2 linked regions of the Caenorhabditis elegans genome follow. The protein of the gene in region 1 interacts with the protein of each later gene in a pairwise test. Each region holds a gene or a part of one and is shown on either strand. Other genes may lie near its edges.

Region 1 (3,757 bases):
TGAAAATTATTGTTTTGATATATTTTAATTGCTGTTGGTACTTATGAATTTTAGGACGAAACGTTGACTCCGATCTTCTGTAAGCCAAAGCTTATCCCATTGAAGACCATCACTACTCAGAAGCTCGAGAAAATGCAGCGTGAGCAGATGGAGAGACTTCAGGTCCCAGAAGGACAGAAGGCGGTGAGAATTTTGGTTTTTTTTGTTGGAAACTTTAGAAATTTTCCAAAAACCATGTTTTGTAATTAGTGGAGTCAGATAGGGTATTACATTGTACTATTCTGGTACGTTTTTAATTAAAATTTTAACACTTCAGTGTTGTAAATGAGCGATTGAAATTTTTAAATATATTTCCAGAGAACTCCGGAGTCTGCTGAGGCCGAGTCGCCAAAGAGCAATGAAGGGCCATCAACTTCTGAGCCAAAGGAAGCTGATGTCTGGACTGCTGATGATTGACGAAATGTTACATGAACATTCGCTCATTAATGAATAATCAATCAATTAATTTATTTTGTACAACTTTACATAATCATACGATTGCCAAAAAAAATATTTCCGCAATTATCAATTCAATTTGCAATAAAGTGATATGAATCATAAGATGGCGGTGTATTTGAAGATGAAACTTGATAATCAAGATTTCCAGAAATTTGATTTAATTCATTATTGTTATATTCCATATACTGATGTTGTTGTAGATGTTGTTGCTGCTGCTGCTCGGCGAGCTGATCTCTGATGTATCGAAGTTGAGAGCTTGATGAGCTTGAACTATTTCCTCCGTTTTTATTCCTAAGAATTCTGCTTATACTACTGACTGATGGAAGGTTAGCTCTATCGCAAATGTCGGCAGAAATAAGTCGATCTCGAATCTCCCATGCAAAAATTCCTGGATCAGAGCGCTTCAAACTTCGAATATATTCAACAACCTGAAAAAAATAAAAAAAATTTTGGAAAAATCTACGCCGGATTCAAACTCACTTTAGGCGTAGTAACTCTCGGTCTAGATCCTCCAATTGTTCCAGGCATTATTGTTCCATTTTCTGAGAACCGAGTCAATATTTTCGAAACGCATCCATGACTGATTTTTAGTTGACGAGAGATGTCACACGGTCGTGTTCCTTGTCTCGAGAGCTCAACTATTTTACAACGCATCTCAAATGGAAGTGGTCTTCCATTTACGAAAACTCCACCAAGTTGATTAACTTCGGCAGTTTTGGCAGGAGAGTTGGCAGGGGCTGATAAAAAGTTGCGTTAAAAATAATACTGATAGTTTCTATTAGCTTGATTTCATTGCTAGAAAGAATTGTCTTAACTTTCATCTCATACTGTAAGGATTTCAGACAATTTCTTTAAAGATATAGTAACTAATTATTAAGAATCTATAAAGGTTTTCACTGCCAGTGGAATAAGTTACTAAAAAAATCCATGTAAAACCCATGTAATTCTTAAATGAAAAGCCGAATTACAGACAATTGTACTTACCGTAACCCGATGACGTAGATATCGACGAATATTGTTGAATTCCATTATCAGAGCTTGGAGTCGTTGAAGTAGACGATGGTGTTGTTGTCCAGAAGACATCAGATGTTGTTGATGGATGATAAGAAGACATCATCCACGGTTGAGCGGTGTCGCAGTTCATGCTCGAGCGAGTGTGACTGTACCAATGCGGTACGTGGTCCGTAAAGTAACTGGTCCGTGCAGAGCTTCTTTAATCTCAAAGCTCTCAAGGCTCCGCCTATTATAAGGCAAGGGGGGGGGGGCAAACAGTAGCTGCATAGGTATTTGTTGAGATTATTAGGGGGAAACGATGGGACTTTGCCAAATAGGAACCAGCCGGTGGGAATATGATTGTTGGTTACTGTAGGCAGTTGAACTTGACAATGTTTTACCCATGATTCCATTTAAGGATGAAGTTACACGGGTGTGTTTTAACATCTGAAGTCGTGGAAGCTCGTGGTTTAAATATCTGACGTCACAAATCTTTTCGAAGCCTATAGACTCCTGTGGTGTTAATTTCTGAAGAATAAACTGTTTTGACATAAACTTGTCAAATCCAGGTGTTGATACGGTATTTATTCTTAGGTTTTTTAGTACATCTCAGTCCACATGTGACGGCATTGCTTTTCCACCAACGACTGCGTGATTTTCTTCGATTTCGAAGGCATGGAACACACGGACACCTGAGAAATGTCACTGTTTTTTTCTAGCTGCTAAATTGTTTATGAAAACAGATAAATATAAAAATTCAAAAAATTGAGCAACGTAATATCGTCATATCCAATCAACCACTTGACAAACACCTCTAGTGCATATCTACGGGTCATCTTGTTTGTACTCACCTAAATTGACTACATATATCCAAATCTCCATCAAATAAATGGTTAGTAATCACCGGATATGTAACAACCAGATGGTAACGACCAGTTATTCGCGCAAATATTAAACATTTTTGTGCATTATTCTAGTATCTAATTGATCAGTTCATTTCAAGGATTACAGTTATTATTAAACATTAGAAAGAAATGTTTATATTGTATTTTCACGAAATGCTGAGATATCAGTTAAAAGGCACACGATGTTTTCCTGAGTGGGTCTCGGCACGAACTCAGTCATAGTGAGGTTCCAAAATTTACAGATTTTTTCATTTGATATGGAAAATGTACTATACGAATTTTGAAATTCTGAAATGTACAGAAAAAACTAGAATTTTTCATGTAGCACATAGCACCTAGCTAGGATAAAGTTTTTGCGAATGTACGATATTTAAGGCTCTCTGCCAGATACCACTTAACGTTGTTAAACCTCCGCTTTATGTTTCAAACTTTAGCTGTTCCAAAAAACGTTCCCACTCCTACCAATGTAGTGTTAACTCGTTATAATGTTTGCATACCATGCTACTTTTTTGGCGGAACAAAACAGTGCCAAAAAAGGCGGCAGCCTTCTACTTACCGCCACCACTGTTTGAGTTTTGGCTTTTAGCAGAAAGCATTGTATTTCTTCTGAGAACCAATGAACAAAGAGGTGCACCATCGTTTATGTGATAATCGAGACACTTGGATGCGAAATTTGGGAAAAAATTAATGGGGCAGACGGGAACACACGATACAGTACTTTCACGGGAATCTAATGATTTTACACACACACAAATAAAGAATAATTGATTTAGATAAATTTAAATCCTTCTCGTTGTCAGTGTGAGAAGAAACAAAAGGATGAAAACGGATAAATTGCTTAAATGGATTAGCGAAAATAAGAAGTTAGTAGCCGTATGATATACGGTTCTAAAGAAGGGAAAGTGCAGATGATAATTGTTTGGAAAGACAAGTAGAAAAGGTTGAGACTTTAATGGACAATAGACAGAGCTTTTATTGATTGGCTGTAGAATTATTGCGACTGGATTTCGTGAGCGTCGAAATGAAGAGTGGAACTTCAATGTCTTCGCGTTGCTTCATTTCCTTAATCCACGGATGAGCCATGATGTCAACAAGTGGGAGACGTTCTTGGGGTTCCTTTTTGATTATTGCATTTATCAAACTGGCAGCTCCGTCAGTCACAACACTTGGAATCTGCAAAAAAGAAGCAATTTAGATGAAACTACTTGGGAAACAAAATGGAAATGAATGTTTGAGAACTGTCCCGAGGAGAAAAGGAACCATATTGCATTAAAAGCAAACCGGCACACGCATCTCGAGCTAGACTTCTATTGCAGTTCTTTGAAGCTTCTCACAGATGAAACCGTGAGAGGCAGGAGATA
Region 2 (3,757 bases), on another chromosome or scaffold:
AAGGAAGGCGGTGTCTCACCATCAGTTCTGAAAAAATATTTATATTAACAGCTATATTCTTGAAAAAAATAATTAATTAAACTCACATTTTATATCGATTTGTTGTTTAATGGGGAAATTGAATGTGCCAAGTTATGGCGGGATGTGACGGTTGTTGGAAACACGCGATGCGAGCTCTTCACGCGAGATCCACGAGACGTCGTCCGGAGGACAGAGACGGGCTGGAGACGAGGAATGAGATGAGGTCACCGTCGAAATTTTGATAATTGACGGAAGACCAGGAAAACGGGCGAAACGAGGCGGTCTATTGATTACCGGCTCGTACGCACGCTACTGGGCGATTGAATAGAAAATGAAGAAAAGGTTATAGATGTGAAGAGAGAGAGTCGGTCAGTCGGCAGAACGGGAAGCGATTGAAGAACAGAGTTGACGTCTGAAATTTGTTAAATCATTTTTAGAAACATTTTTGGTCAAATGTCTACTTCTACGAGTTTAAGGTACACGATAGCAACATGGTCTCGGCACGTGCGCGAAATCTAGAATATTTGATGTATGCGCCTTTAAGATTACTGTTAAGATTTTGTGTGCAAATAACTATCTATTTCAGTTAAATAAATAAATAACACAAAAACTATAAAATACACTAGAAAAATCGGCTGAGATTTGAAAGAAAAATCTGTACATTAATCTTAAAGGCGCGCACACCAAATATTTTAAATTAATTCGACGAGCGTGACAACACCGTTTTGCACTTATGTAAACTCGTAGAAGCACATAAGAAAATTCACTGTATTAACCTCAGGCTTTCGGATCTGGATCCCAAGGTGGCTCGGCGTTCTTGTCGAGTTGGATTTGACTGGCGCGAAGTTGAGGCTCCGCGTAGATCTTAGAGATCTGATCGACTACCTGTAATAAAACAACTATTTTCTGAGAATTCAAATATTACAAAAAAAAACTCACAGCGCCACTTAAGGGCGGTATGGAAGACTCGTTAGATTCCTCGGCGGAGGGAATCTTGGACGAATTGGGGACAGTTCGGGCAAGCTTCCATGCACACTCTCTCCCTTGGAGTGCACGGAACAAGACGATTTGTGTTAGTAGTTCACACGCAAGGTATCGAGTTCAAATCCGAGCACGACGGGGCACGGATTCTATTTGGAAAAATTATTGATTGGATTGATTGATGGTGTTAATGGAGAAATTAGGAGGAAGAGAATACGAAACGTAAGATAACCGACACAATATAATTTTATTTTATTGATTTTGATGCGTGGAAAAATTCAACATTTATCGATTTTCTGTTGAAATACCTTTAAACTTCCACGTAACCATCGTTATGTGATGTTCTTTCTATAGAAAATGCTAATAATGCCTGTCAGAATTAGGAAAGTAGACAAAGAAAGAGATGACTTGTAATCAGAAAACTGTATAGAGCAAGCAGTTCTAAATGATAAGAAGAGTGTCACGAGGAACGACGTCACACAAACTTTTTGAATTTTCTAGAATAACGCACACACAAGAAAAAGAAAAAGAGGGAAGCAGCTTCTTAAAGATATCCTGTGATGATGTCAGAGAGTCAGTTGTTTTCCGTTCGTCCCTAGAAGGAGGCGGCAACAGACACAGTTCAAAAATCGAAAAAAAGCGACCGAAAAACACGAACACCGGTGTTTTGATGGTGTTTAGAACTTTTATTTTTATGGGGAACAAACAACGAAATTCAGAAAAGAGCATTGCGTAACAAACACAAGGTTTTTGATTGATTCTAAATAGAAATTGAATTAACTTCCGGTCACAAGAAAAATGAATAGGAGCGAAATGCTAGAAATTGATTGATTTTTAGAATAATCTGCTCCGCAAAAAAAATTTCTATGGAAAAGATAAGAAAGAAGGCAAAGTGATTTTTAAAAGACAAATGGCAAGTTGCTTGTGAAACTTGGCGTTTGATAAGGAGGGAGGTCGCGATATAAGATCGGTATACCGTCAGCCGTTTTCAATTACGAAGAAATTTGATAGTTTTTTAAATTTAAAAATAATATTAAATAATTGAATATTTAATTTATCAAGTTATTTTTATCACAATTTGATTTTACTGGCGAGAGAAAGTGTGAATGACCTTGGCACGTGAGTGTGAGTTGAGAGAAGTTGCGAAATTTTAGATTTTTTTTTGATTTTTTACTTAAAAGATAACTTTCAAAGCTGGAAGTCTTTGAAAATTATGAATTTCCGCAGAAGCTCCCGAACAAAGTTCATCCTGAACAGCAGACAAGGGCAGAAGACAATTAAGAAAAAATCTGGTGACTGATTGGAAAATGAAGCCGAGAGGAAAAAATTGTGCGGGCGGCTTGTGATAGAAAAGAGAAAAAAAGAAATTTTTCCAAGAGAATCGAGACGCAGACTTGGGGCCAGAGAGCAGAGAAGCGGGGGCTCCGAGAGCATGCATCACAATTCCGCGCTCTTCTATTTTGGCGTGTTTTCGAAGGCTGTCGCGGAAGAAAAGTGGTCACATGACACCGTGGTGGTCAGCAAACGAGTTTTTTTAATGTTCTTCGCTTCGTAATCATTAAACTTTCTGGGAATAGAGCTTGAGATATTGGGGATCTGATAAAACGCGCTAATTATCGAGTTACACTTTTCAATCGATTACACAAAAATCGTAGAAAATTGTAAGAGAACAACGCGGAGCAAATTTCGTGTGAAAAATGAACTGAAATTCGTTTAAAAGGAGAAAAACTAAGGAATATTTCGACCGAAATAAAAAAAATTCAAGAAAAACGCGGCAATGCAAACACGCTTTATTGCGAAAGTGTCTTGAACCTCTCACTTTCGCACAGTCTCTCGTCAGATGATATCATTAATGCATTTTGTAAATAAATATTTTCTGATTCTTGGACAACAAATCGATGAAGCTATAGCTATAGCTAATGTTGATTCAATTCAAAATATTATAAAAAATATTTTTATTTTCTGAAAAAAGGAAACCCGAAAAGCAAAAACTGCTCAAGAAAGAAAGGCAAATAAATTATTATTCAAACGAATTTCACAGAGAGAATTTAATCGATAAATAAAACTTTAATCGATAACACACGTATTTGTCGACAAGTTACAATTGTATTTTTTTCGGGAAAAATCGGGGAAGAAACATCAAAAAAGGAGGAAACATTTAAATATCATGGGAATCGGGAAGGACATTACAGAGATCGACGAGTTTTTGATGTTTTGGGGGGTTAAAATTCAGAAAAAGCGATAAAAATTGTAATTTTAAGAAAAAAAATCTATAAATTAGGTGAATAAAGGGAACAAATTGAGATTCTGTGCATCAATTTCCGTGGCGTGCTCGTTTTGGTGGAACTCCGGCGTCTCCTCGATCCTGAAAATGAAAACTTTGAGATTTTCCAGACACGCAACCAGAGCAATGGTATTTAGAGACTAAAATTGATTGTAGTTGGTAGTGTGAGCCTCACCAAATACAAAAAATCGGATTTATATGGTTCTTTGAAATTTCAGCAAAATTTTGGCTGAAAATTTGACTTTTTCCGTCTAAAAAGTGCGTTTTACATGAAAATAACGTTTTTTTTCACATTTAATTTAATCGATAATCAGCATTCCAATAATTGCCAACGATGAAATGGTCATTCCAATTTTCTGCTTCCTTGTGGACACCTGCATTTTCTCTCCCATCAACCACCCGACTGTAATTGTTGCGATGAACTGAATCGCATTCACACACGGAACAACAACAGTAACAGGAAAGTTTACA

The links. Proteins that work in one complex are often made in the same cells at the same time.
Region 2: the proteins of pax-1 (region 1) and azin-1 interact in a two-hybrid assay, tested with the Caenorhabditis elegans proteins (one large-scale study listed by BioGRID).

The regions. Positions count from the first base shown.
Region 1 is NC_003283.11:8,222,850-8,226,606, reverse strand, and holds pax-1 (Paired box protein 1 homolog), read right to left. Parts: upstream 1,674-3,757; 5' UTR 1,643-1,673; coding exon 1,483-1,642; intron 1,236-1,482; coding exon 979-1,235; intron 927-978; coding exon 570-926; 3' UTR 491-569; downstream 1-490. Other genes in the region: K07C11.10 (BBSome-interacting protein 1), read left to right, coding at 55-183, 358-456; air-1 (Aurora kinase), read right to left, coding at 3,369-3,569.
Region 2 is NC_003279.8:3,828,511-3,832,267, reverse strand, and holds the start of azin-1 (Antizyme inhibitor 1), read right to left. Parts: upstream 1,707-3,757; 5' UTR 1,084-1,706; coding exon of another isoform or gene 961-1,083; intron 907-960; coding exon of another isoform or gene 798-906; intron 434-797; coding exon of another isoform or gene 391-433; 5' UTR 250-390; coding exon of another isoform or gene 133-249; 5' UTR 87-132; intron 28-86; 5' UTR 23-27; coding exon 1-22. Other genes in the region: F53F10.8 (Transmembrane protein 234 homolog), read right to left, coding at 3,586-3,757.